Linked DNA regions of Oryzias latipes. The protein of the gene in region 2 purifies or fractionates together with the protein of the main gene of each other region. This does not show direct contact. Links are inferred from orthologs where the notes say so. Each region holds a gene or a part of one and is shown on either strand. Other genes may lie near its edges.

The links.
Region 1: the proteins of ubxn7 (region 2) and cul2 purify together in Homo sapiens (affinity purification with mass spectrometry; 6 studies listed by BioGRID and IntAct, with this or other methods). This does not show direct contact. The link is inferred for Oryzias latipes from reciprocal best matches to the Homo sapiens genes UBXN7 and CUL2.
Region 3: the proteins of ubxn7 (region 2) and topors purify together in Homo sapiens (affinity purification with mass spectrometry; 4 studies listed by BioGRID and IntAct, with this or other methods). This does not show direct contact. The link is inferred for Oryzias latipes from reciprocal best matches to the Homo sapiens genes UBXN7 and TOPORS.
Region 4: the proteins of ubxn7 (region 2) and klhdc3 purify together in Homo sapiens (affinity purification with mass spectrometry; 3 studies listed by BioGRID and IntAct, with this or other methods). This does not show direct contact. The link is inferred for Oryzias latipes from reciprocal best matches to the Homo sapiens genes UBXN7 and KLHDC3.
Region 5: the proteins of ubxn7 (region 2) and ufd1 purify together in Homo sapiens (affinity purification with mass spectrometry; 3 studies listed by BioGRID and IntAct, with this or other methods). This does not show direct contact. The link is inferred for Oryzias latipes from reciprocal best matches to the Homo sapiens genes UBXN7 and UFD1.

Annotation. Positions count from the first base shown.
Region 1 is NC_019878.2:9,091,435-9,097,816, forward strand, and holds the start of cul2 (cullin-2), read right to left. Parts: upstream 3,816-6,382; 5' UTR 3,691-3,815; intron 2,255-3,690; 5' UTR 2,233-2,254; coding exon 2,114-2,232; intron 1,317-2,113; coding exon 1,214-1,316; intron 1,119-1,213; coding exon 1,024-1,118; intron 1-1,023.
Region 2 is NC_019875.2:24,819,603-24,825,290, reverse strand, and holds the end of ubxn7 (UBX domain-containing protein 7), read right to left. Parts: coding exon 5,482-5,688; intron 4,505-5,481; coding exon 4,425-4,504; intron 3,400-4,424; coding exon 3,238-3,399; 3' UTR 1,083-3,237; downstream 1-1,082. UniProt on the Homo sapiens protein: Ubiquitin-binding adapter that links a subset of NEDD8-associated cullin ring ligases (CRLs) to the segregase VCP/p97, to regulate turnover of their ubiquitination substrates.
Region 3 is NC_019859.2:15,571,696-15,576,388, reverse strand, and holds the end of topors (E3 ubiquitin-protein ligase Topors), read right to left. Parts: intron 3,734-4,693; 5' UTR 3,731-3,733; coding exon 1,367-3,730; 3' UTR 1,190-1,366; downstream 1-1,189. Other genes in the region: mtap (S-methyl-5'-thioadenosine phosphorylase), read right to left, coding at 593-616. UniProt on the Homo sapiens protein: Functions as an E3 ubiquitin-protein ligase and as an E3 SUMO1-protein ligase. Probable tumor suppressor involved in cell growth, cell proliferation and apoptosis that regulates p53/TP53 stability through ubiquitin-dependent degradation.
Region 4 is NC_019873.2:28,677,686-28,683,373, reverse strand, and holds part of klhdc3 (kelch domain-containing protein 3), read right to left. Parts: coding exon 5,593-5,688; intron 5,512-5,592; coding exon 5,440-5,511; intron 4,193-5,439; coding exon 3,979-4,192; intron 3,894-3,978; coding exon 3,807-3,893; intron 1,970-3,806; coding exon 1,861-1,969; intron 1-1,860. UniProt on the Homo sapiens protein: Substrate-recognition component of a Cul2-RING (CRL2) E3 ubiquitin-protein ligase complex of the DesCEND (destruction via C-end degrons) pathway, which recognizes a C-degron located at the extreme C terminus of target proteins, leading to their ubiquitination and degradation.
Region 5 is NC_019867.2:6,261,253-6,267,547, forward strand, and holds ufd1 (ubiquitin recognition factor in ER-associated degradation protein 1), read right to left. Parts: upstream 4,342-6,295; 5' UTR 4,190-4,341; coding exon 4,187-4,189; intron 3,964-4,186; coding exon 3,831-3,963; intron 3,286-3,830; coding exon 3,253-3,285; intron 3,169-3,252; coding exon 3,047-3,168; intron 2,336-3,046; coding exon 2,205-2,335; intron 2,124-2,204; coding exon 2,051-2,123; intron 1,977-2,050; coding exon 1,908-1,976; intron 1,826-1,907; coding exon 1,757-1,825; intron 1,689-1,756; coding exon 1,638-1,688; intron 1,558-1,637; coding exon 1,469-1,557; intron 1,093-1,468; coding exon 1,008-1,092; intron 913-1,007; coding exon 838-912; 3' UTR 711-837; downstream 1-710. Other genes in the region: probable ATP-dependent RNA helicase DHX37, read right to left, coding at 5,755-5,831, 5,917-6,014. UniProt on the Homo sapiens protein: Essential component of the ubiquitin-dependent proteolytic pathway which degrades ubiquitin fusion proteins.

The DNA.
Region 1 (6,382 bases), on a different chromosome or scaffold from region 2:
TGAATGCAGAAAAATCAAATGCGAATTTTTAGTTGTCTGGCATCCCTGATTAGCGATCTTTATAAATATAGTAGTATAAATAACAATACAAGTCATGCAGGCAGTGTAATTATTAGTATAAAATGGCAGAATATTGATTGATTTTTAGTATACAGTGTTCCCTCAGAAGTAACTCTAAAAATAATCCACGATAGGTGAAATCAGTGAAGTAGTCATGTCTGTTTAGTACAATATTTTAGATGTTTAAAGGCTGTAAAACTCCTAACTACACATTTGATACACTTTTCTCAGACAGATATGAATATTTTCACCCTTTTCTCTCTTATTTAAACTCTCAAAGTTCAAACCTTCGTATAAAAATGAGTCCAGGATTATGGAATGAAAACAAAGATCTGATTGGGATTGAAGATATACATCCATCTATCAAGCTGATCCCATTCTATACAGGAGACACGGCACAGAGGAGATTGACTGACAGGGTCTACAGCCAATCAGGACACAGAACACAGTGCACCAACAAACAGAAAAAGGGCTGGAAAAGATGAACTGTGATATAGTGAGAAGCCACTATATCACATATAGTACAAATGATATTTAAATGTATAAAAAGCAATAAAAATCAGTGTCTGGCATTTCATTAAATATTTATCCTTTAAAAATGAAAATAATTTACAAAGGATCAATTATTATAGTGCTGTAAGGGAGTTTAAATAAACAAAAGATGGATCCAATACCTCTGGATTTCCCTTTAAAGAACTTCTTTGTTTCAATATTTTGTGTCTGAAAAATTCTTTCCTTTATTTATGTTACAATGAACATGAATTAAAATTCCACCGTATTCCAAATGAACAGTTTTTTTTGGTAAAAACAGGTTTCCCTAACTTAACTAAATTGGTTTTGGATAGAAATAAAATAAATAAATAGATCTAACAGCTGAATATATTCTGGATGGATTCAGTAATGTAGCAGTGTCCTCCAGCCCTACCCTGTTGCATGCTGGTAGATGTCAAAAAATACAGTTACCTGTACAAGCAGTCCATGTAGTCAGCGCCTTTGCTGTATTCCTCCCAGTATCTGTGGTACATCACTAAAACCTTTTCCTCCGACTCCAGAACTTTCTAGAAGTACATTCAGATATTATTACTAAAAAGCAAGAACTTATGGGGGAAGAAGCACTTCTTTTTTTTCTCCCGCAAGAGCGTGAAAGGCTTACCTTGTATAACTGTCGGACATGATTTTCAAGAAAAATTTTGGTCTCCGTGTATAATCTTTCCCCCAGGGGTTCTGGGTATGCAACACATAAGGCATAAATGTCGCTGGTGTCTGAGGTCAGGATCACAAACCAAGAAAACATCTTTTTTCAGACACATTTATCTCAACAATAGCTAATCTGTATTTAGAAAAAGATGAAGAACCCATCTACCCTATAAAACAGTGGTCCGCACCTTTTTCAGGCCATGGGCCGGTTTAATGTCAGACAAGAAACGAGGTTCAAGTGGCCGTCCGATTTGTTTTTTTAGCTAAAGGTTTTCCTTAACTTTTGAGGGTAAAGTCGATCTTCATCCTCTGTGAAATATTTGCCACTTCTCTAAACTTTATTTGTACACTAGATTTCAAGTAGGAACCATTAAAAAGGGATATAGATTTTCCCGTAACCCATAACTGTCAAAGTAGAGGCCAAAAAATCTGATGCCAACTTCAGCCTCGTCAGACTTTTAGGGTTCCACAAATATAAAAAATAAATGAATAAATAAGACATTGGTCCCTAAAACTTTTTTCTACTGAAACAAACTTTCCATATGTGTTTTTTTTAATGAACTTTGCCAGCCTGGGGGTCTCAATTTAACGGTCGGAGCAGCAGCTTTAAGAAAGTAGAGGATGGTTTTTTAAACGTGATCGAGCAACTTAACATGCATCAAGAATGAGTGGAATGTGGTGAAGAGAGTCGAGGACTTTTCCCAAATAAAACTTCTTTCAAAATCAGATGATAAAGAAAATGGGAAAAAATGTAGGTCGTGTTTTTTTCTCTCTCCCACGGACTGGCCTGGAGGTTGGGACCACCGCTATAAATTGCCTACAATCTTTAAAAAAAAAAAAATCTTTAAAAGGATACGAGAATCTGTCATTCCAGGTGGCTCTTTCAACATAGTCGAGCATCACAACAGCCTTGATTGTCGTCAGTAACTTGTTCCATGTTTCATCAAAGTCCACCACCCGCGGCTTTAAGGACATTGTAGTTTTTCCTTCAGCCTGACTGAAAAGAAGAAAAGAACAGGAAATATTGAAAGATGTTAAAGTCCCATTCCTTTAACTATGATTATGCAGCTTTTAAGTCCAAAAAATTAAAAAAAAAAAAACTTTCATTTTCTAGGCCATACTTTCTGCAGAGCAGTCCGCCCCACTTTCCATCACCCATCTACTCTCCCACTCTCGTACAACCCCTCACACACCAAGCCCAACATTACCAATGCAACAAAAATGGGAAGCAATATTGGAGCAATCCAGCTGTACAGTTTTGAGCCAGATTCCAGCTGAGACGAGGAAAACAGAGACGTACATGAATGCATCAGAATGGAATGGAGCAGGGAGCTTGTGGCCCGGTCACTGTAGCTTCTACGTCACAAATACGATCTTTTTCAGACAGCAGTTTTTCATCTGCTCCTGACTCACAACAATTTGAATTTAAAAAATACTCTGAAATGCAGTCTTAGGTTCAATTTTCTTTATATTATGTCCTCCACCATCAGAAAAACGCCACAAGAACATGTTATAAACACCAAACACAATTTTTACTGGAGTGGGTCTCTAAATGTTTGTTTTGACAGCACAGTCACCAAAATAAAGGCTGTATGACAAAAAAGAAACTGATAGTAAAAAAAAAGAAGAAGAAGGAAGCATCATCAAATACAAAACAAAAGTATACGAGGATTTCAAAACAGCACCTGGGAAATTAAACCAATAACACGATTTGAACATCTTTACCAAATAAAACATAGTAACAAGGACATTTTTAAAACAATTCTTTTGATCATGGAAACAACACTCCATAGCACTATTATGTCTGATAATCATTCTGTTCAACAAGAAGAGGCTAACAGCTAAATATTTTGGAGAAAAGTAAAGAGAAAACCTCTGAGCAGCAGCGAAACACTTCATAAAAAATCTATCAACGTTCAAATTAATGCAAGCAGTTGTAATTATTACGTCAAGTGGGAGAAAGAAGGCCCTGTATGTGTTCTTTCATGTTTGTCGTCATTCATTTCAATTGCTATAACGCAACATTAAACATCTCAACATTTGTCTTGAAAAACCACGTCAATATTTATTGTGACTACAATTATGCTACCGAATGCTGTCTCTCCATTTTAGCATCCCTCTGACATGTTTGTTGAACCTAGCTAAAAAAAAAAAGGTACAAGCTAGCGGAATGCCAATCCAAAAATAGGATGTTGAGCTAAAATGCTAGCTTACTGCGCGTTAGCATGTCACTTCTTCCTGTTCAACTGAAGGCAATTTTAAGGCAAAAGCTAGCAATTAGCCAGCTAGCTGGCGGCTAACGATTGCTCAGCTATAGTTAGCAAATTGTCATACAAGAAGTTTCCCTACGTAAACCTTGACATTACGGCAAAGCGTGGCGCTGATGTTGAAAAAATCTGATTACTTATTATAAGCAAAGACTTTACAACTAACCTTAATTCAGTAATTACTTGTTTAAAAACTCCGGTTTCTCCGCTGTCACAGTACTGATTTGACTCACAGGTCTTCCCAACCACTAGGAATATACCACTTGACTTAGGTGAACGTTACAGACAAGTGTTTATACTTTGTATGAATTTTAGGAAACAGTAATTTGTCTGAATTGTATCTAATATAAATTCATTAACAACAGATCATAGATATAAGCTTTACATTAACTAAAGCGCGGCAACGTTAAAAGAAAAACCCCAACCAAAAAATGGTATCGCCCAAAACTACGGAAACCTTAAGGAATCGAATTTTTCAAACACCGGTGTATTCTGTTTTTATATGCTCTATTTTTTTTGAGGGGAAATGTGCATTTATTCCATTTGTGTTTAATACAAATTAAATTAATTGATAAATACAAAAAATAAACACTTCATATTTGCCTCACTTTTAAATAAGTAAAGGTTTTTCCAGAAGCTACTTGTGCCAAAGTAGCTTGGCTTTGCACGTTCTTTAATCTCTTTGGTAAATTTTCTGTGATTTCTTTTATTACAAATTTTCACTCTCCCTTTTTTTGCTTTGAAAACATGCATTGTTTGGCTTCCACCACCATAAGAATATGCCGCTTAAATTTGAATACATCCTGACTGCCTGCTACTTCAAACTAAATCCCAAATGTTTCTTTATTTTTGTTGAAGGTCAGACTGTGTATTGAATCAATTAGTTAAAAAAAAACGTTCAAATGTCATAACTGACTATTAGTACTTACAGTGTTGTTCTTTATTTACTACATCCCTGATTAGCTAAAGTTAGTTTTAGTGCTTGTTTGAAGAAATATATCATAGCTGGTAAAATTAATGCATTTTGGACACAAATTTTTGTTAATCAAAACATTTTTAACTATAAATTTGCAATTTTTTTGTTTTGTTTTGCTCTGCTTTGTTAGAAAAAAATGGAAAATATTCAACCAGAAGAAGTTGTTTTTAGCTTTTACCAAAAACTTGAGGTATATTTTGAATTCCTTACAAGAGTATTTTTTTTTTGCTTGCTTAAAGAAGGAAGCTGTTATTTTACAAAAAGGAGGATCAGATGCTCCTTTATATAAATCTTCATTTTTCTTTTATACAAATACAGTCTTGTTTTCCATAGAATGACTTCCAGGGTGATGCAGCTAAATACAGAAGAGAGTGATCAGTCACAATAAGCTCCAGCTTCTCCCAGTTTGATTCCTTCTTACCTGCAAACTAACAACAGTAATGCAGGTAAACATGTCGATAGTGGTTAACATGACCACCTCCACACCCACTGGTTTGTGTTTTCCTTGGTCTTTCAGGGCTGTGTTTTGATTCCCATCTCGACTTTTCCCCTTCGGATCTTCAGGGCGTTACAGATAACCAGCCATTTACAAACAACCCACAATTTTTAATTGTAGGAGCCACAAACACGCCAGTTGGTCCAGTTCAGACAGGTAACCCCTGCTGTTTTCTCTTAAAGTTATTTGTTGTCAAATGTGATTTTTTTATTTGTTTTGTGACAGTAACAGCAATACAAATATATATATCCTTAATCTCTCCTAAAAACATCTAAAAATATTTTCCTGTAATCCATGTGGATTGTATTAAATACATACATTTATATAGACTATTTCATGCAACATTGTGCAAATCTCTCATTTCTTTTGTTTAAACAAATGTTTAAACAACATTTATTTTGAATTTTATAACCACTCTCATTCTTCAGTTTTGCATGGGAGCAGTTCACTCCCTAGTTTACAAGAATGACGCCAATTAACAAGAAATCAATTAACTATATTATATTATTACATTATACAGAGGTGTTATTAATGCATAATTTAGCTGCAGTAGCCCGGAAGCGTCTCCTCAGAGTAAAATGTCCTCAGTTCTAGTCTTTACTTACTGCCATTAAAAAAAAAAAAAATAGATCAAACAGTGAGGAGGATTCCAATCTGTGTGGTTTTCATGATATTACGGTTCGTCAAGATCGTTATTGTCTGTAATGGCAAAGTATCTAAATAACACAGAGTTGAACTTAACCGCCATTTTTTATTTTATGTCGCTGTAATTCAGATGGGGGAAGCTGTTGTTGAAGAAAACATAATTTTTTGTGAACGTGGAGTGATCCATTCTTTAAACAGTACAGATAAAGGAGGCAAAACTGTTGGGAAATGCGACTGGGAGCTAATCTTTTTTAATTATTATTAATCAAGTACAAGTATTCTAATCTAGGAGAGAAACTGAATGCCTACATCAGAGACATCAAGACCTGGATGACAATTGATTACCTCCTTTCTGAACCCACAAAAGCCTGAGGTCATTATACTAAGTCCTAAAATCCTCAGAGATGCTCTGTCTGCTCAGATAGTCTCTCTGGATGGTGTGAGTTTAGCCTCCAACTCCACAGTTTGAAACCTAGGGGTTCTATTTGACCAGGATTTATCATTTAATGCTCACATATCTCAGGCATGCAAAACTGCATTTTTTCACTTCATTATAGCTAAGATCAGAAATATACTCTCTAAAAGTGATGTTGAAAAACTCATCCATGCATTTGTTACGTCTAGGCTGGATTACTGTAATTCTTTGTTAGCTTTGTTAGCATGTCCTAAAATTTCCTTAAAAAGTCTTCAGCTTGTTGAGGAGGCAGCAGCAAGATCGTTAGCAGGAACTAACAGAAGAGA
Region 2 (5,688 bases):
CCCACACAGTTTGCATCATTTTGGCTGGAAAGTTAGGGCAGATAAGCTTATCATCTTATTATTTTTTTTTAATTTTCCACAAAATGAAGAAGCTCAATTTTTTTTAAATGCTTCTTTTGGACCTTTAGATGAAAAACATTCAATGTTTAGGAGAAATTTCGACAGAGAATTGCATACTTTTATTTATCAGCCACTACAGAAAAAAGAGAAAAAAATATCCAAGTAGTACAATGTTGATCCAACTGAAAACTCGCAATGCATTATGGGTATTTAAGTTTGACCAAATGATGGTGAATTCATATCAATGTGGGGTCAAAATGCTGCAACAAAAGTTTGAAGCAGAGCTTTCTCTTTTTTAAGCCTTCTTTTATGCTGTTTTGAATAAATATTTTTGCTTTTTCTTGTAATTTTCAGCATAAAAATAAAATAAATGAGACTTTTGAGATCATCAGATTTAAAAAGAAATCTCAAATGTTGTTGAAACCACGGCTGCGTCCTGCTCATGACATCTGAAATGAATTTGATATGGAAACTGATGACCTGCTTCTGAATAGAGACTGAAGATTGCTCACCGGTTACACATTAACTTCCATCGATCCATCCCAGGAACAGCCAGAAGGCCAACAGATGACTGAGGGCAATAGCCTGTTATGCAACAGTTTCAAACAAACCAGGTTTGAAGTCTGCTGGCCTGATTGCCTGAATAAAAACTCAGGACTGACTGATTAATTTAGCTTTAATGTGAAATAAATGTGGGTCGTTGCTACTGGCCAGAAATTTCCACATTAATAATGGCATTTTTACGACATTTTGAAAAAGGTTGTTTCTGTTCACGAGGACTTTTTTTTTGTCCTTTACACAAAAAAAAAAAATCAGCTGGTTTGAGAATGTAAACTGCACACATCCTGGGGAGCAAACTTGAGCCATCTATTTGTGCAGCTGTGGGTGTTTTTCTTCATCTCTGACCATTGTCCTGATCTGACTCTCCCAAACATCAGCTGGGCTCCTCTTCTTTAGTGGAATAACAAAGACAACCTGAATAACACAAGTCAAGTGAAAAATCAAACACCAATTACAATAGCTGTAAATCAAATGAGAAGCTTTAATGATCAGTTTTCCCTGTTGGGTTGTGTTTGGTGAAAGAAAAGATCAGATCCTCAAAGTGCTCCTACTGGAATGGCTTCTCTTCTTCTTTAAAGCAATAATATTCACCAAATATATCACCATCAATGATTAAACAATCAGGAGGGGTCTCTCTCTCTGATGGCAGAATGGAAATGATGTGAAACTAAAACCTTTGTGCCTTTTTTGTTTTTAAAGGTTCATTTTGAACTTTTTTCAGAAAAAAAAAACCTTTGTAAGTCTTTTTGTAACCTAAAAAGTATTTTTCTAGTGTTATTTGTTGGTCATGTTTCAATGGTTACTAATCCACATGGATTAGCCAACAGGAGGAGTTTAATTTGACCCGCAATCTCGTGAGTTTTGCAGAAACAGCTCGTCATCGATGTAATGGTCGGAAATGTCATCCTCTACCATATTTCCTGTTCTCATCATAGGATTTTATTTGTTGTTCTTCTGATTGCTTATACATCATTGCTCTTCCTGGTGTTGCCTCTTCTTGCCCATGGTTCAGTAGGGGTGGCGACACAGGGTTAGGGTTGTGCCAACTTTAACCTCTGCACAGACTCTGGGTACAAGTCAGTCGGTGAGACCGTAAGACATACTTTAATTAGCATATTGTTAAAAAAGAAGGGCAGAAGATTCTAGTTTGAGGGCCAACATTGTCCATCTTTTTATAAGAATTCTGACTAATCCTGAATCACGAGGCTGTAAAGACAGATTATAGAGTCTAAACACATCCTCTCAGGGTCCATCCACTTGCAATGGGTGCACTCTTCTAAGAAAAGAATTGCAAGGAAAAAAAAAATAAAGCACCACAAGAATTGCGAGTTTAGCATGACGATTGGAAGCTTGTTGAACCAGACGAGATTTCTGAAAAGCCCAAAGAAAGAGTTCAAACCCTGCACTACTGTCCTTATAAGTCACCTTCTTTTTCGCTGTTGACATTTAAGGCACATTAGCACCACCAGATGACCCAAAGAAAAACTGGAGAGACAAAGAGCTGGTCAAAGCTTACAGTCTTTTGTCTGACTTTGACTTTCACATTTTTTTGGAAGGTTAAGAGCACTAAAACAATGCGTAGAATTCTAACAGAAGTCATAATAGAGTTTTCTTGTATGTAAAATAAATGTATTTAGATAAAAAAAAATTACATTTTATGCTGAATGTGTCCACCTTTTTAGCCATTTCATGCAATATGTCCAGTTAAGTGGTGAATTTAATTCGGGTCAAAAATTCAAATTTTAATCATTCCTTCATTCACAAAACCTAAATTATAAAAAAAAAAAAAAAACAAAGTAAAAAGGATTCTGCTGGTTCTTTTTTTTTTTTTGGTAGTTATATTTCAACATCAGCATTTTGTTGGCAGCATATAGAAAAAGGAAGGAAACAAAGACTATCGCTAAATATTAGTTTTTTTTCTAAGCCGTCTGTACATCGACTGAAGATGCGTACAACCTCCCATTTGTCATTTCTCTGTGTCAAAAATACCAAATACCCCACCCCCCCTTGTATCCTCTGAGCCTTTTTTCCAGGAATGCTCATACCTCCTAAATAATTACAAAAATCTCAACAATTACAGGAAAAAAAAAAGACAAGGACAGATCTCCCTTTACTTGTCCAATGTACAGATATAACAAGAGCTGGAAAATAAACTCTGACCTTTACCGTCCTTTTCTGGAAAGTAAAAGTCCTCGATGGCCTTTCATTAACCAATGAAGTGGTGTTTCAGTTTGGTGTCTTGTTTTTTTTTTTTTTTTTTTTTTACAGGAGACATGTTTGTTTTCAGTCCTGATGTGCCTCAGAGTTCAAAAAGCTGCATCAGAGTAAACCAGATAATATTAAAAAAATAAAGAGTGCTTACATCTGAAACAGTTTACTGGTCGGTTTAAAAGGACTACGAAGAAATCGGGTTTTCAGTGTGATGTCAGTACGGAGACTAGTGGAGTTATGTGCAGAAGTCCATCAGCTGTCCTGTTGAAGACATGGAGGAGAGAGAGAGCCGGGGTCCTCCCGCTTAACTTCCCCAAAAGAAAGTTATTCAGGTGTTGAAGCCAGTATCGTTACCAGAGAACATTGATGACATGGACAAGCTGATGGCCAACATGTCTGGGAGGGCTAGTTCCTCTCCTGCACAAATACAGTCTCCTGTGGACAAAGGCCTGCTTCCTGCAGCGTGATGTCATAGTCCAAGTGGGCGAGCTTCCTTCTAGGAAAGTTGGTGACGAGTTCAAAGCGTTCGTTAGGGTAACCCTTGGACTGGACGTGCCTGACCAGGGCCTAGACAAAAAACAAAACGGTTTAACAGCTGAGCTTTGTTTTACTAGAGTTAATATTTGCTGATATCCAGGAACTGTTCAAAAATAAAAAGGTTTCTGTGATACAGTGGTCCCTCGCTGTTACTCGTTTCACTAGGTTTTCTTTAACAGTATATTGTGTTCTGGATCCTGATTGGCTGTTGACAATCGTCAATCAATCTCTTCTATCTCTTCTGTGTGTCGTCTGCAGTAAAGAATGTGCTCAGCTTGCAGAATTTAGAGACCCACTCCAATGAAAAATGGCATTTTGTAGCTTTTTTCTCATGATGGGGGACATATATGAAGAAAATTAAACTCAAAATTGTATTTTCTGATTATTTATTTTTTTAAACATTGTTAATCAGGACGGGATGGAAAGATGAAGCTGCAAACGGGGCTCATTTGTGACGTAGAAAACAGAACCAGCAGGCCACAAGCTCCCTGGTTCGCTTCATTCTGATGCATCCACTTGTGGACGACTAGATCCATGTACGTCTTCCTCGTCCGAGCTGGTCTCGGGCTCAAAACTGCATGTCCAGATAGCTCCAATATTTATCACTATTTTGGTGGGGCTGTAAACTAGCCCTCAGCAGGGATTGAGGGATTGCTCCATGCCAACAGCCCCGCCCATAACTCAAGGGAAAATTTCTAATGCCCAAACTATGTCCTAGAAAAGGGCACATTTTTGATTTTGGGTAAAAATGGCATAATCAGAATTACCTTTAAAAAAGATTAAAAGATTGTAGTGGGTCTTTCAATAAAACTTCAATCTTTGGCAGATCTTTGGTTTCCTTCTAAAATACGTGTTTCTATGAAGGTTTGAACTTTGAAACAACAGGAAAGTGTAGAAATCTCAATGCCGGGCTGAGAAAAGTGTGTAGTGAGGACTTTTACCATCTTAAAACATCTATAATAACTCTTGCAGGTTATTTTTAGAACGTAACTTGACGATAATCGAGTGACCACTGTGTGTTATTTCAAACAGGGAGAAGTGTCGGATCAACTCACCAAAAGTTTAGCTTTAGAAGACAAAGAAATTTGCTCTCTCTGTCCATCGGGGTAGCGGAGCATCAACCTGGCTTTGGGACCTTCATTAACAGGAAAAAACACAGTTGGTTTCCAAACAGATAACAATTAAAAAAACGACAAAAACACTCAAAAAGGTGTCAAAGGAGTCAGCAAACATCTGTCTCTTCTCCGTTTGACCCCTTCTGTGGTCGTTTTTCCTCTCTGGTTAGTTTTAGTAAACAAGATTGAACCTCTTATAACTAAACCAATGCTTTATTTAGACGTGTTATCATTTGATGAATAATTCATTGTTAAACTATATATATGTGGCGATTCTAATCATGTACATTCTAGGCACAGACAAAAGAAAATTCACTGAATTGAGCTCAAACTTGACAGGGGTAAAAATGGTTTCATCACAGTCGGTTTCTGACTAAATTTTAGTGCATAAAAGCCAAAACATTTGGAAAAATAATAATCCACATTTAAAGTTTGATTGAAGGGAACTTTTCCACTGAAAAGTCAGCAGATTGCTCTAAAACATGCAGAGGAAGCAAGAAAATTGTCAACTGGATTTATTTTTATTTTTTTTTACAAACTACATGAATCATTATTTTGCTATTTTAGTTTTCTGACATGTTAAATAAATTAATGAGTTTAAACTTGTTGCTAAGATTTCTGTTTTATGCATAAAATAAGTCCTTTATTTTTAGTGTAAAATATAACTTCACAGTCGTCAATGTTACAGTGTGATGTAATGATAAAGTAGCTGACAAATAGACAGCTTTACTTAAATTCTGTTTTGTTTTTTAAGATTCCCTGAGAGATTTCTAACATCAGGCTGTTCTTCGGCCGCAGACAGCTGAAGCTGCTACCTGAAGCTCTGCCCTGGTTGGTTGCTGCTTCAGAGCAGTTCTAGACATGTTAGATCTCAGATTATCAAGTTTCAGCACATTCCCGATGGTCAATAGACTGTCTAGCCGTCCTGTTTATTGCTTTTTCTTTAACTGAGCATCAATCTGAAGTGTCTTAGACGATACCATTGTGTTTGTCTCACCATTGTCATCGGGACAGTCCACTTCACAGGCTGTGGTGGTGCTGATCTTGGAAGATGACGCACTTTCCGCTGGGGAGGAACAGTTGTTCCTTCCGGAGTCAGCATCAGGTTGAGGATGACGAACTGGAGCTGAAGGTTCCAGATGGTTCTTTTTGCTCTCCTCCTTTTTGTGACTGTGATTGTTTTCTTTGTACGGGGACTTTCTAT
Region 3 (4,693 bases), on a different chromosome or scaffold from region 2:
CTTGTATTGTTAGTCCAGAATAAAAAGAAATCCAAAATCACAATGTAAGTTTCCATCAATGTGACCTAGGTGAAGTGAAGATTTGAGTGACAGCTGTTTTAATGATTAACTATCATAAAATAAGTAGCATGAAAGAAAATAATACGATGTAAAAAAAAACATTTGTTACCGTAAAGTGCAATAATGCTCCATTAGATGATTACTGTAGTCTAGTTAAGTCTCCAAACATTAACTAATGAGTTGGAATTGGAAGTAAAGCCGGCTGACAGCCGACTAGCAAGAGGTCAAGAAGAAGCTGCAGCATGTAAGCTGTCCGGCAACGCGTCGTTAGCTTGTAGTTGACATTTTTATGCTCATATATATGATCCGTGCCATACATATATTAGCACATTTTGAAACTCCTGAAGGCTTGGGTATAATTCAAGCCTTTCACATTTACTTTTCCCAGCATGCTAACACACCAGCCTGTCCCTGCATTTCCGGGTTTGTAACCTCTGTTGTCGTTCTGGTTCCTAGCAGTGGTTTAAAGCAGCAAATGTTTTATTTGTTTTGTTTTTAAATAACACTACCACCGTTTTAAACAGAGTACTACCTTAACGTGAACCGTAGACGCCATGACAACGCCTCTGGGATGAAGAGTGGGATTTGACCAAAAGGGAATGCGCTGAACCGTTAACGCTCGTAATCAAAATATTTGAAAAAAAAAAAAAAAGACGGCCATCAAACATTTCTCTTCCCGGTCACCAGATTTTCAAAATAAAAGTCCTACAGTCAATGGGCAAAAGTTGAACTTAAATTGTTGATTGCGATTGCGGTTTTCTGCCTCCATGGGGCGCTGGTTTTTTCAAGGACATCATATTTTTTGTTTTTATATTCTGTCAAATAAGTTTGATTTTTTTTGTTATCTAACTTCTGTTTTTAATAGAGTTATGGCAACGTGATAATTTCACCTTTGTAGAATCAATACAGTTTTATTCTATTCTTTGTTTTACATAAATAAAAAAATATCCATCAGATTTTAGATCATTGTTGGTGAAGCTGCAAATCACAATAATCCAGAAATCATCATATTTTAGGCATAAAATATCAAATATGCATGAATATTAATAAAGATTGTATATGCATGTCTTTTCAATTCAACCTACTCTGGGTTAAACTACACAGAAATAATATCACAAATATTCAAACATCCATTGTTAATGACTAGATTTTATTCTTAAAATTGAATACAAAAGTCCATACTTCAACAGCACAGTAGATAAGGAGCTTTTAAGGCAGAATTATTTATGCATTAAAGAATACTCTTTTCTTGAGATACTGGCATCTGTGTTGAAGTTAGATAGAACCATATAAATATGCCAGGTGGTTAATCGATAGAGTCAGAGTCTACTGGATTGACAGCAGAACCACCTGTGTCTTTTTCCTCATCTGTGCTTAACACCTGCATGTTTTTAGCTGAAGACTCATTTTTGCTCCCCATGACGATGACGGAGGGTAAGTAGGTATTTTTGTGCTCATCACTCCTTTGCCGTCTACTTTTCTTCTTGTGTTTCTTCTTCTTTTTATGGTGTTTTCTTTGCTCTTTTGACTCTAAGCTGCTGCTGTTCTTTCTCTGCCTTTCTTTGGATTTTTTATGACGCCTCTCTTTAGCTTTTTTCTTGTGTGCAGTTGACACAGAGTCCTCGTCTTCATCCTGGCTGTGGTGCCTTTGTGTGGATGGGTCCTCTAAGTGTCTTGTTTTGTATTTTCTCTTCCCGCCAGGCTTGTCGCAGTATGTCTTTCTTCTCGACGAAGGGGAGCAGCTGCTGAAGGAAGTCCTGGATGGAGACCTGGTCCCGTCCCGTCCCCTTGTCCCCCTGCTGGGGCTCCCGGAGCGAGATCGAACGTGCTTCCCAGAGTACTTGTAGCTGCTGTGATGGTTGGCCTGCTTACGTGTGCAATCTGTCTCATGTCTGTGATGGCTATATGTCTGATTGTAGTAATAACTGCCTCTATCCTTATACCTCCTGTCACGTTTGGAAAAGTCTTTGCTAATGTAAGAGTAACTCCCGTCGATGGACTGACTCTGTGAGGCGTCTGGACTTCTGCTTGATTGTCTATGCTCTCCGCTTTTTGACCGTCTCTGCCTTCTGTGCTCTTTATCCTTTGACCTGTACCTTTCCCTTGGCTGCTTCTCACTGCAGTGTCTTCGGTCTGTCTCTTTATTGTGAGACTCTTTGGATGTTTTACATCTGCTTGATTTCGATGAGCCGCACTCCTCGTTTGACTTGGGATATTGATAGTTTCTCTGGTTTTCTGTTCGTCTGGAGCCGCTGCATTCACTCCTCAGTGAAGCTGCTGGACTACAACTGGGGAAACGAATGTGTTTAGGTTGGAGAGCCGCAGCTTTGGCGTCTTCACCGAAAGACTCATCAGAATCAGAGGACAGCTGAACCAGCTCGGGAGTCCTTTCTTTTGTTGGCTTAACAAATCCTATGATAACACAGTCATCACTGTCAGAAGACAGACAATCTTCATCATTACAGTTCTCCTGAGTCATGTCTATTTGGTTTCTTGGACTCACTCGCTGTTGAGGAGCCCTAAACTCTTGAACGCCCCCGTCTGAACTGCTTTCAGAGTCCGAGTCATGGACCGACAGATGACTTATCCTTCCTGGATCTGCTGTTGTTGAATACGATGGACCAGGAGTCTCATCATCCCACACAGACTGACTCAGAGAAGAAGTAGATCCTCCTGGTTGTTCTATCTCTACAAGGTTCTCCTCTTCTTCTGAGATGGCAATAACGGACGAGTTGGAGTTGCTGTCTTCGTTGGAGGAGGGGGCCGGACAGTCATAAACTGCGTGCTGGTCGTACCCCTCCATGTTGAAGGGGGACTTGGCGAAACTGATGAATTCGTGCAGGAAGTGCTCGGTTCGAGCCTGGAGGAACGGCCTCAGCTCTTCCTGAATCGCGCCGTCTTCCATATCGTAGCGTGTGATGCGTGACATGATGATATGTTGAACTATGTTGACCAAAGAGCCATGAGCTCCATACAGCACGGTGAGTTCTCTTTTTAACCAGGGCACCAATCTATGCAGGCAGGCGGGGTTTCTGCGGTAGAACTCGGCGGAGGTGTCCCGAGAGCGGCCGCCGTCTCGAACGTTGCGAACCCTGACACCCTGTCTGTACAGCTCCCTTCGGAAATTTACCATCTCTTGCTCTCTGACATTGTTCACCGTCCTGCCTTCGCTCTCGGCTCTCCTTCTGGCTGCCAACCGCGCCATCATGCGCCGAATGTAGCGATCTTGCCGCTGAAAGGGAGGATGCGCCGAAGCTTCAAACATCACCCCGTTATCCGGAGGCGGAGAGGTTCTTCCTCGCATCTGCCGATGGACACCGGTAAGAGTGGTGCGGTACCTGAACCTCACTCCCTCGAAATACCCAAAAGAGGAGTTCTCCACTTGCTGCTTCAGTTCATACTTTTGAAAGTCTTGCTCGGATTTTATACTGTGATAGATTGTATTGAACGGCTGTTTGCAGAGTGGACACTCGGCTTTGTTCTTGGACCACTCAAGAATGCAGCGAAAGCAGAACTTGTGCAGGCAACGATCCAAGTAAGAAACGTTGTGAAAACCGTCCAAACAGATGGGACACTTGGAGTCGGGAGACACTTCCACAGACATCGCTTCAGAGGTTTTTCTCCTGCCGTTTTTCTGAGCGTGCTGCAGGGCGACCTTGACAGCCGACATGATCTGGAAAAAAAATGAAGAAAAAAAATTCAAATAGAGGTCAACCTTATAAAATTTCTTATGATCTTATCAGTATAGTCCTTTTTTTATTTATGCAGGGGAATTTAAGAGGAGACTTAAACACATTTTGAAAAAAGATGTGAAATCACTAAATGCTGAAAACATTCACTTGGCTTCATGCAGAGACTACTAGTCAAGAAATTGGCAGTGAACAAATTAAATCTAAATAAAGCATTTGCTTTTGTTTTTTATGCACAAGTTAACATTTGTTAGCATGTGTGCTCACATAGTTTCTCAGTTTTCAATCTTAGGGATGACTAAGGCTGAGTATCACTGCAAAAAAACTAAATGAATCACTAAATCATTTTCGAAGAAAAGTTCAATTCAATCATTTTGGTTTTGTTAAACTTAGTCCTAAAAATATTGAGCAAACAGATTAGAGCTGAAGTCCTTTTGTGTTGGACAGGTTTTACTATCACAAAAAGAGGGCCTAGATGAATCAGGGTGTCTAAAGTAAAAGTAAAAGTGGAATGGAATGGAGGGTAGGCGCCGATGCGACCCCAGAGAGAGTCACCCCCAGTAAGCCCCGCCAGCATGTCCCACCCATCCAGTTTCTGGAGCCCTATGTGCCTGTGTGCAACGTTTGTTTGGGTGGGAGCGGGGATGAGCAGGCGGATGGGCACAACCAGGGGAAGAAGGCTCCCCCAGCCGGCCGCGGTAGGCGCCCCCCCTCCCAGGGCAGCCAGGCAGTCAGGAGGCGGCAAGCCAGCCGCAGACAAGGGCCAAAGCCGTGACAGCGCCGAGAGACAGTCAGCAAGGAAGGGGCCCGTGCCAACCCAGAGGGGCAGGAGGTCCAGCCCCTCCATTCATGCCCTGACTTCCCTAATGGACTAGCACCCCCCCCACACACACACACACCTAAAAAGAAAATAAATAAATGGAGAACTAAAAATAGATAAAAAT
Region 4 (5,688 bases), on a different chromosome or scaffold from region 2:
TTAAAAACTAAACAAACAAATCCAGCGTCAGGCTCTGAAACAGGATGCAGGAGAAACAGTTTGATTTTTTTCTTGCTGTCCTCTTCATCACATTAACAACACTCCCCTTCAGCATCTTTGCTCTCTGCTCCCAACAGGAAATCATGACTCTTTAAAGCCCATCCTGAGAAACTCCACAATGAATAACACAAGTACATGTCATCTGCTTTCTTTTACAGCTTTTCTCCTTTATTCTCCTACAGCCATAAGAAAATCTGACTCTCTCTCAGGAATCAAAGAAAAACTATGGAGTTTGGTTGGATCGGTGTCATGGAGGATGCCAGGAGACAGAAGCAGCTCTTTATCTGCAGCTTTCTGATGAACCATCAGGTTCTCCCTGATAACAGCAGTTCTGTTGATAACAGCAGCTCAGGACTTAACTTTAGATCATGCCAACACTGGAGGCTACCACATTACTCCACCGGCTACCGGCCTCTTCATCCACAGCAAAGCGGCGCCTAACCAGCCGCTGCCTCCAGCCTATCACTGCTGTCCAACAGCCAACAAAGGGGGGGGGTCCTCGCAGACCGCCGTCTGCGGCGGCCAGAGCGCAAAGACCGGCTGAGGATCATAAATGCTGCAAGATCGATTTTCAGAATCCTGTGTCACTTTTATGTATAAAGAAATGGAATTTACTGTCCATAAAGGATGGATGCAGAAAGATCTTATGAAAGGATTTCTCCTTCGGTCTCTGGTGTTTTCAGCCACCCGGCTGGGCAGAAATTCATTCTCTGAAGAAAAGTCGCAGCATTTCAACGAGGATCATGTCTGGAGTTTGACAAATGATTTTGTTTTTCAGTTGCAGACTGGAGAGCTGAATAAATGCGCCTAACTCGGTTTGTGTGGGGCCAGAAAACCTGGAACCTGATCAGGTGAGCGGCTGGGACGTCCGCTGAGCGGAGAATGAAGACTTCATCCTCATCAATAGATGGAATGAGGCCGAAAAACAACAGAATAAAAACACCCTCTGTTTTATAAAGGAGGTGACACTTGCTAATAAAGAGTTCATCGATTTCATTTGATCAGAAGCACGAGGCCGCCACTTCCTGTGTCAACTCCTACGGGGCCATGGGGGGGTGGGGGCTCACTTTTCACACTCTCTTTGCATGTTGGCTTTGTAAATGTTGTTTTTTAGGAAATAATGACTGACGCGCTGTGCTATGATTTGACTCTGATTTTCCTAATCGTATAACCGGGCCTCGCATTCAAATGTAATTTTAAATTAAGAAAAAAACCTTTATTAGTCCTGCAAGGGGAAGAAATTAGCTGCAGCAGATCGTTGCAGTCAATAAAGTAATAAAAGTCGGCGTAGAGAGCCTTTGAACTGGCAGCAGGGAGAAACGACCTCTGCCCCCTCAGTCCGGTCCGGTCTGCTCTCAAACCCATGATGCTTTCCACAACATTAAGCAGAAAGTTCAACGCTGAATTTGGAATGTGAGCATGTTTCTGAAAATGCTTTTCAAATGGAACCAAAGCAGATTTTTGAATCTGTAACAACTGAACGCTTTGGCCAAAGATTTTGTGTTTTACCAACTGAAAATGTGTTTTAAAAAGCTCCGTTTTCTAATATACAGCTATTATGAATCCTACAAAATGCAAAACTCTGCATTCTGAGTGTAACTGCTTTGTGTATCTAATAAAAAAATAAATAAATAATGTCAAGAGCGAAAACATACGTTAGGATTAAAAGAGGACAAAAATACATAGATTCAGAATGAACATGATCGTGTAAGAAAGGACTCAAGTAGTAAACCTAAAACCGATTCCTGGTTTTCCTTTGAGCAAAGATTAAGCCCTAAAAGGTCAAATATTAGACTTTACCTGGTTCCTCCAAACAGGATGATTCGATCTCCAACCATACAACAACACTGTCGCCTCCGTGAGCACGGACCTTTGCCTTTCGGCTCGATTTTCTTCCACATGAAGGCCTCTGTGGGGACAGGAGGCAAAAAGAGACGACGCGTGAGCTTTACAGGCAGATCAGCCCTGCATGAAGACAACAGGAGGGCCAAAATGAAACTCCTGAAACCAGAAACCAAGACGCACAGCTCTGTGAGAACGTCCGTTTCACACGCAACTTGACCAAAATGTGATGTCCACACAAGCGGACGCCAGGTCTTAAAATCCCAATGCCAAAGCGTTCCCAGCGGTCTCTTAATTATGATGATGCTGTGTTTAGCAACATGAAAAAACCTGTCGTTTCCCAGGACATAGTCTCTGCAGAGCGGCAGGAGTTCAGTGGAAATTTGCCTCTGGGTTGTGGGCAGTACTGTTGGCGCGGAAATGACCCTCTAACGATGTCCCATCAGTCCCAGATGCCATGAGAAAATCTGCCTGAATGGCCCTAATTTAATGGTTTGGTTCAATTATAAACTCATTTTAAATGTATATATTATTATTAAAAAACTGATAATTGATAAATGCTTTATTTATTGTTATTTCAATCTTATTAAATGTCTTCTTTTGCTCTTAATTGTAAAAATAGTACTTCCATTTTCTCTTTAGGCTGCTGACTTTTGTTCTTTTTTTTCTTTGCTCATTTTCTTTTATTTCTTTTATTTTGTTAGCATATGCTTATATTTTGAAAGCACTTGCTGTTATAACATATTGAATGAAAAATATACTGTTGATTACTTGACTCCAAATCAAGAGGAAGAAACATATTTTATTAAAAAGGAGAGTTCAGACTGAAAAGTGATTTAAGATGCTGTTCCCCTAAAGCTTCATGAACCGAAAGGTGTTTGACACAATTAAAACAAAGTGGAAACTGGGTTGTAAAGATAGAAATATAGGAAAAACCTGGTTTAAGTTTAGTCGAGTCAATTAAAAAAGTCTGACTTGTTGTTTAAAGCATGCAGGGTCAAGTGCCGCCTCAGTTTCAAACTGCTTCTCCTTAGAAACGCAGCGTTATAACTCCAATAGAGGTGCTGCCATCTAGTGGACTGTTGTTGAAACAGCAGATTTATTCAACAGAAACTTATCAATACAAAAATGAAGAGCTGTATAAAAACAAAACCATTAAGAAAACTGAGCATCTTAATGGGAGGATGAACTGTAATGACTATTTTGTTAAACATCAGACCAACTTTGGACAAGAGTTTGTCGACAGCTCCATACAGGCGACATAACAGAACTAGACGGTTTTGTTGCTCTGTAGGAGTGGATTGCGTGTAAATAAATATCGGTGGGTCTGCAGCTTTAGTGTCTCACAAACATTTTAGGTTCAACAAGTGAATAAGGGTTCTTCAGATTCGGAGTGAAAATAATGTCACACCCTACTTGAAGACTCAATCTAATGAAAAATCCTGTTTCTGGTGTTTTTAATCTTGTTCTTGTAGCATTTTTCTAATGATAAAGAAAATTCAGCTTAGAATTGCATTTCTGTGTATTCCTTTATTGAAATCGTTGTGAATCAGGAGCAGATGAAAAAAAGTCACCTGAAAAAGATCATATTTGTTATGTAGAAAAGATGCTGGGCGGGGCCACAAGCTCCCTGCTCCGCCCCTTTCTGATACGTCCACTTATAAACAAATAGATCCACGAACGTCTTTGTTTTCCTCGTCTGAGCTGGACTCTGGATCTAAACTAGACGTCTGGACGGCTACGATGTTGCTGCTGTGAGCGGCTGTAAGCTAGCGGGAGAGCGTGTTAGAAGAGAGCTCACCTATGGATGACGGGAAGGGAAGGTGGGGCTGCTCTAGGCCAAAACATCCCACACGTTCATGCTACGTAACTGAACCAAACGGCTGCTTTTAAAAGTGAATCACCTGGATTGAATTTCCAGAGATCGTTGAAGTGCCGGTCCAGACGGGCGTTGTATCCTCCGAAAATGTAGAGCTCCCCTTTGTAGCAAACTGAACAGAAAGCAGCCAATGATCACGTCATCAACGACACACGCTGGCGCTGGATGTTTCGGAAGAACACGCGTGTGCGTCTTACATGCCGAGTGACTCCTGCGTCCCTCTGGAGAGGGCTGCGTGGTGGGGGTGCTCAGCCAGCAGTTGGTCTCCGTGTCGAACACTTTGATCTTGTTGCAGTAAATCTCATTGTTGGAGTGGAAAGGGCCGAAGCGGTCCGCCCTCCCTCCGAAAACAAACATTTTTGCTCCTATGATGGTGGCTGAGTGGAAGTCTCTCCATCGAGCTGGAGAACCCTGAGAAGAGGCAGAACGTCACGAGAGCGTCAGGTTTCTAAGGAGAACGAACGAAAGGGCATCAACTCAAAAATACAACCCAAATCTGTTCATCCTCCTTTCATGGGACAGTTTCCTACCATCATACACGACTTCACAGCGAGCACAAAAATCCTGTTCTACCCATTGGCATAATAACATCAGGTACACAGCACCCCCTAGTGTACATCTTTAGGAATTTATTATTTCAACTTTCACTAAACTAGGGATGGGGAAACATTCAAAGCTGTTGTTAAAGGTGATTTATTTTGGGGAGAATCTGGGTTCAATTTTCCCAGCATTCCCCTCTCCAGCAAAGAGGAGCTTTTTATTGATTGATTTTTTCCAAAAACAAACATTTTTCTGCGTTTTCTGGAACTGATTCGGCTTTGTGACTTCAGACTTGGAGCATCAAACCAGAATCAAAATCCGCTCGAAGGCCATCGTTACCAAAAGTGGGAGTACGCTGAATTTGTTTCAACAGCAGAAACAGAAACTCTGTCGAGTGTGAGAAATGTGCTCCTCTTCACGAGACGCTCAAGCAGCAGCTCCAAAAACATTTTCACAGCTTTGTATTCAGTTTTAGGTTCAGGCCAACTTCTAAATGAGATGTTAAAATAAAAGTTTTTGTTAAAAAATCCTGTCGTGTGTCATTTTTGTTAAAGACAGTAAAGGGGGGGGGATTCAAATTGGAGATCGAATTTGATGTGGGGGAAAAAAATCAGATTTTTTTTTTGGGGGGGGAGGGGTATATCGTGACTCTACAACTATTTTTTTCCAAACATGAGACGCAAAAACCAGCAGAAAAATGTGAAAATCTTCTGATCTTTAGCCTCCAAAGCCTCATAAGCAGGAAGGCGAGATTCATTTTTTTCATTTTGATTTTGAGCAAAGAACAAAAAAAATCAATTGTTATTATGAACCTAAAAATTCCAATAACTGGGCTTTGAACCCAAACCCTGAAGCAGCTTATTGTTTGAGTCTGTTGCTGAGTTTCATAAGCTGCACCAGAAGGCGGAGCTTCCAGAACAAACCAGTCTGACCTCATTTGTAGAAGTATTTCCAAACGCACAATAATCCACCTCAGGTTTAAGTCCAGCTTTGCTTTGTGCAGGAATTGTTAGACTAGTAGATGCTGTACACTTTTATTCACCGCCACGCCCAAGGACACTCTGGCACAGTTTCTGATGGACCGCTCCACCTCAGCGCCACACCTGCTTAGAACTTACTTTGGCATTTATCAATGACCAAACCATGGCGGTGGTGTCCAGCTTGTGAATATCATTGGAGAAGCAGTCAGCCTAAAAACAGCAGACGAGTCTGGTTAAACCCAACCCTAGAATTCCATTCAAACTTCAACGTAAAGCAGAGCGGGGACTCACCAGCTGCTCATAACCTCCAAATATATACATGGACTTTCCCAAGACGCAGGCCGAGTGGCCGTCTCTGGCTCCAGGAACGGTCCCTGAAACCTTGGG
Region 5 (6,295 bases), on a different chromosome or scaffold from region 2:
AAAGCGCCAGTGCATCTAAGCGGGATTCACTTTGTAAAAAGTAAAGTACAACGAACAAAAATATTTTTTTCTTTGTTTATAACATGTCTGTTTTCTTGATCCAGGTTGATTCCATCGAAGTAGTGAGTTAAGACAGCAGTCAACAGGACTTGGTTTATCATTGAGGACGTTTCACTGCTTACCAAGAGTCTAATTTCTTTTTATTGTTAAATAATTTAGGCCTATTTAATTTTAATTAAATCCCTTAATGTGTTGTCCAAATCACAACTTACCATCTATTGTCAAAATGAGTTAAAATAAAGTCATTTGAAGTGATCACTGCATCTAATTCAACTGTTTTCTGCAAGTGTTGACATACCATTTCCATGCTAATAAATAATGACTAAACATTCCAAAAAGAATCATTTATTTATTTATAAATAAAGCAGCAAAATGCATGAGGCATTGTTTTTACACATCAAGAGAAATATTGTTTTTCACCACAACTAAAGCTAAAGTAAATGTATGCTCTATTATATTAGCAACAAAGTGTACTGTTAAAAAAAAAGGAAAATGATATTTTAAAAAAAACACTGGATGTTCAAAGTGTAACATTATTATGACAAAACTTTCCAATTGTTTTCTAATAATAATTTTCTGTGTTGGTGATAAAGCATTTCCTGACAAATTTCTACTGTCCTCACTCACATCACCAGAAAAAACCCCAAGAACCAGAATGCAATTTTGCTTTATTTGAGCAAATGAGAATATGAGAATTTCAATCAAAAAATATAATCAAAATTCTACATAAAAGCTCTACAATAGACGTCACATAGGCCTGACTCTCCACTTGCAGCTCTAAGGCTTTCTGCCTTTCTTGCGTAGTGACTGTCCCTCTCCAGAGAAGGCAATGAACTTGTTCAGGGCATCATCCTGGAGAAGAAAGATTAAAAATTAGTAAAAAAAAAAGTAAATTAATTTTGGAAGCACATCTTATTACATATATAGAAAAACTATCAACTACTTACATCATCGACAACTCTCCTGGGCTGAGGTCGGGAGTTTCTAATGAAAGTGATTTTGCCAACTTTGAAATCATAATTGGGAATTCCTCTGTCATGAAAAGATTGAAATGAAAATGGACATTGAATTAAAAAAAATCAGTAATTAGATTGAGATGTTCTCAACAGCTTTTAATCACTATTACACAATTTATTTAAAATCTTGCTAACAGGCTCTGCACATGTGATCAAACAAGGACTGTAAGTTGACTTATGAGGCCAACAATAGATGAAAATTTTTTTACTTTTAGTTTTAATTCCAGATGCAAAACTTTGTCTCAAAATTCTGTCCCATATGCAGAAAAGAAAAAGAAAAAAAAAATCAAACTAATTAAAAAAATGATTTACTAAGCAGGGACCTTAAAATGCAACAAAGTTGACACAAACACAAAAAGATGCAACTGTGAAGAGTTTAAATGCAAAACCACCTTTTAATGTCACTTGCTGCTAGAGGAACAGGGTTAGGCTCAATCCCTTTTGTTTTACCGTCCAGACGATTGCCAGAACCAGTAAAAGCCTAACGAAAAATAAAATCAAGAAAAGTATTTTATTGCTTTCATTTGTCTTTTGGGTCATTATTAGTTGGAACATACTCACTCTGAATCCGAGGTCCATGTCAGCATAACTGCTTGGGTCTGGCTCTTCCTCCTACAGAAATGTTTTTTACTAAACCTTTAATGACTTATCTCACTCACTGCTTAAGGCTCAGTCCTTACCGTGGGTTCATCCTGGTTCTGAGATCGCCGCTCAGGTTCTTTGTAACCCAGAGGTGCATCAAAGTCAACCTAAACAGAGGAGCAAAATAAAACTCAAATAGCAAATAATGTAAAGGTTTAATGTTGTCTAGAATAATAAAGAGAGTCTCACATTCATATCACATTCAATGATGGACACAGCTTTATCTGGCTTGGTCTCCATCACTCGCAGCTCATAGATCTAAAGCAAACACAGGCTTTATAGAATGTGTGCACTATTGAAAGGAAAATATCCTTCAAAATAAAATGAATTACCTTTTCATTGTAGTTGATAGCAATAACATCACCAGTTGTCAAGCATGCAAAGTTCCTCAGTGCGTTCTCCAGCCTGTGATAAAGTGACAGCTCAGGAATTCCGCTTACCAAACTTTATATGCATAAAGGGCACATAGATGTCCATTGCTCTTACACTGCCTTGGGGTTTGTGATGTCCAGAAAATCAGGACTTTGAGGTTGGAACTTTGAATAAGTGGCCACCATGAGATTGACACTTTCCACCTGAACCAAACCACCTTCTTCCAGCAGGAGATTTTGCATCATCTACATAAATACATTTTTAAAAAGTCAGGAAACAAGACAGACAAAAGAAGCATAGTGCTGCCCTGACTTTAGTAGCTTAAACAAAAACAAAAAAATTGTGATTTTTTTAAGACAATAAAACCATGCTGTCACACTCAAACTTTGATTTATTTGTGTACATTTTGCATAAACAATTATTTTTTTTTACTACTTTTATTTCTATTGATGCTGTTAGTTTGGCAGTGTTTTAAATCCACCCATCAAATCCCAGGTGGGTACATTCTGTGTGGAGTTTGCATCTTTTTCTCCGGGCACTCAAGCTTCCTCCCACAGTCCAAAAACATGCATCATGGGTTGACTGATTACTCTAAATTGTGTTATTGTTGCTCTGTGACCGGCTGGTGACCGGCTGGTGACCTGTCTGAGGTGTACCTTGCCTTCGCCCACAGCAGCCAGGATAGACTCTGGCAATCCCGTAACCCTTACAGGGACACAGCAGAATAAGAAAATGTGTGGATGGATTAAATCCACCCATCTTCAGATTACGCCGAATCCTTTTCAGGTTCATGACATGAGGTTGCTGGAGCCTAACTTGGCTTTTGTTGGGCGAAGGCAGGGTCCACCCTGAACAGGTTAGCGGTCTGGTAAAGGGCTATCTTACCTCCATGTGAAAAAAAATCTTCAGCTTTTCAGTTTGTTTTTTAAATCATCAAACTATTTACTGTGTCTCACCCAGTGTGGTAGGTAGCAGATCCCCTCATCTGCTACAAACTCCAGAACACCACAATGTGTCATTCTGTCCGAGTTTTTGTTGGTCAGCTTGAACAGCATCGGGTACGTGATGTTGAGCCTGCCTTCACAGAACAAAAAAGGAAGAGGGTCCTTTCTAGTGAAGGGTTTATGAAAGAGAAAGAAGAAAAAGAAATACTTGTACTTACTGAGCTGGTCAAGAGCAGAAGGTGGCATGATTACTGGTGAAAGCGGAAAAACAGATTTTCTCTGGTTACTGAACAGTTGTTATTGAAATCTTTGTTTTCATATTTAAATAAAAATGTAAAATATAATGTCTTTAGTCAGGTTTTATATAAAAAAAAGATCATTCATATCCAAATTAAAGTAAAATCGTATCCAAATTTAAACATTCAAATTAATATTTTCTATAAAAACAATGTGTTTTTAAGGAACTGTTTTAAGATGTAATATTTTAAAAGGTATAGCACTATTTAAAATGTATGAATTAGATGAATGTATCTATTAAATCCGTTAGTTTGAGAAGAAGTTGATAAAATATGCTTTTAAATAAATCAATTGACAGTTATCTGTAGATTTTGTGCCAGAAGCAATAAATAAATTAATAAAATAAACATAAAGAGGATAGTCGTTTCTCGTTAATATAAGTTATTTACCGTTTGGTTTTGAGTAGGTAAACAACTTCAACTTTAGTTTCACCCTTAAAACTCATGGTTCACTATTTTTTGACTTTCTTTGACTTTTCTCTAGATGAAATTATACCAACTTTTGCCTCCTTTCTCCACGTCGGAGCGGTCGTTGGGTCCCGCCAGCATGGACACCGAGTAGCACCGGTACTGAGTGGAGAAGCGGTTCGGAAAGCCCCGGCCCATTGGGGGGTCAAAAACATGGAAGGAAAACTATGGAAGAGTGCATACCACATGAAAGTCATTTTCAAACCGCACTTCAGATCGTTTCACAAGAATAAAGCCGGCATGTGCAACTCTGTTTTCATCGTGACAGAGCATCTTTCTGCTCTGAGGTAATGTTGTTGTTAGCTGCCAGTTAGCCTAGCCGGTTAAAATCCGGTTTATTTTAATAGAAACATGTCGTCAGCAGTATGTAAATGTAAACATCACTTACCATAATGACAAATGAGGTCTTAGAGGAACTAAAACCCGTAAAAGCAATGTATTTTAGGTCTTTTTGTTTGTTCACGGAGTATTCGATGTTGTCTTTCTTTCTTTCCCGGAAGTGTACAAGCTGACAGGCGGATATGACGACAATTCTTCTTCTTGTAATTTAAGTGACGGGAGACACAAATGAAAAGGTGCAATACCGCTACCTACTGTGTTGGAGGGGGAATTTGAGTGGGGGACAACCTAATTGTTCCATTAAAAACAAACAAAAAAAACTTTATTCTCCTCAACTGTCCAGTTCTCCTCCAAAACCAATAACTACTCCATTTGACCTACTATCGGAAGAAAAATATTATAAAGACATCAATGCTGATAATAACTGAGCCAATTACACCATCACTGATTCTACTGTGTTCTAATCAGTGTAATATTCCTAACATTTCAACTACAAAAACCGAAAGATCCTTCGACATCCTTATTCCGACATTTTTTTTTAAATTAGAGATACAGAAAGAAAAAACAGTCCTCTTTGTTTTTTGTGTTCTGTAGATCCACTTGTGTAAATGGGAATGAACTGTATCCAAACTGTCTGCTGCAATTTCATCCCAGTTTCCCTTCCTTTTTCTAACCTCCATCTTCATTTGGAGATAAAAATCTACTTGTACGGTTGGAAAGACCCAGAAAGGAGTGGCCGTGTACAAAAACTTCTTAACTAGGGTCTTCTCGTGAATCTTTGATACTCTCGCCAATCTAGATCATTTCCAAACAAAGCTTTCGTTTTTCCCACCACGGAGGTCAAAGGTCACCGCTTTGGGGCAAATTTTATCATAAAGTTTCAGTGATAATAACAAATTGATCGATAATAATGACAACGAAAAAAACTATAATATTAACGAAAAAGAAACATTTATAACAATAACATAAGTCTAAATCTAAAATATTTAAATCCCTTTTTGTTCCAAAAAAAAAGATGTTTAATGATTTAATGTTTTTTTTATTTTATTTTATCTACAAATAGTTTTTTCACATGCTTGTATGATTTCTTTAATCCCTTTTCTTTCTTACCTTTTGGAACAAAACGGATTTTTTGACATTTTATATTTTACATGAGTGATGTTTTTTACTTTTTCACCAATAAACCTAAAAATGATACTTTTGATAAATGTTCACTAACAGCCTCATCTACAGTAAAACGGCATGGGATTTCTTTTTGTTTGTAAATATCATACATTTGATTTGAATCATATTTAAGGAGCATTACTATTTTCCAAAGAATAAAAATATGTGACACAATTTCAAAGGTATAATAGTTTTATTTGCATTCAGATGCGTACATTTTTTACAAGTCTTTGATACAGCTAAATGTTAGCAGCACAGAGTTAAAAACAGTCACAACAGAAAACAAGATGAAAATTATTTTGGATGTTAAGAAAATACAAAAAAGACAAAGGTTGCCGTCTTTGTTTAGGAGTTTCTCTTTGAAAGACTACAGAAGTTGAGGGAAATAGATCTTACAGACGTCAATCAACAGGCGTTCATTCATGTTGTTCTTTGCTCGTCTGACGTTTGTATCTATGCAGGAGGCCAAGTATTTGCAACTTCCTGGTGAACAGATTCAGGTAACCACTGACAGTAGGCAGACAACAGAACTGTAGAAAGAAAAAAACAAAAGATGAGCCACAATAAGAAAATAGGATTAATAAAACCAGAAGCAACCAAACATTAAAGTCTAACATTTATCGTCAGTCTTCCAGATGGAAAGGAGAGCATCCCTGCAGTCGACCTTCTTTGACACCAAAGGGCCCAGTAAAGCTTCTGTTCTGGGTTGCAATCTGCAACAAAGATAAACACTGTCAGCACATTTGTTTGTCCTTCATTTTTTCTTAACCTGCATCAATCATAAATAAATAACTCAGAGATTTTTATTTTTTTTAAATGGGATCTTGGTTCCTGAAAGGGTGCATGCATATCAGACATACTTTGCTGTGCTACATAAAGCAAGGGACACATCTAACCCATGATAGGTAAACGTTTTATCCTTTTACAATTATCATAGATAATTATCATAGATAATTGTGTAAAGCTCAAACCTAAAAAAAATAAATAAATAAAA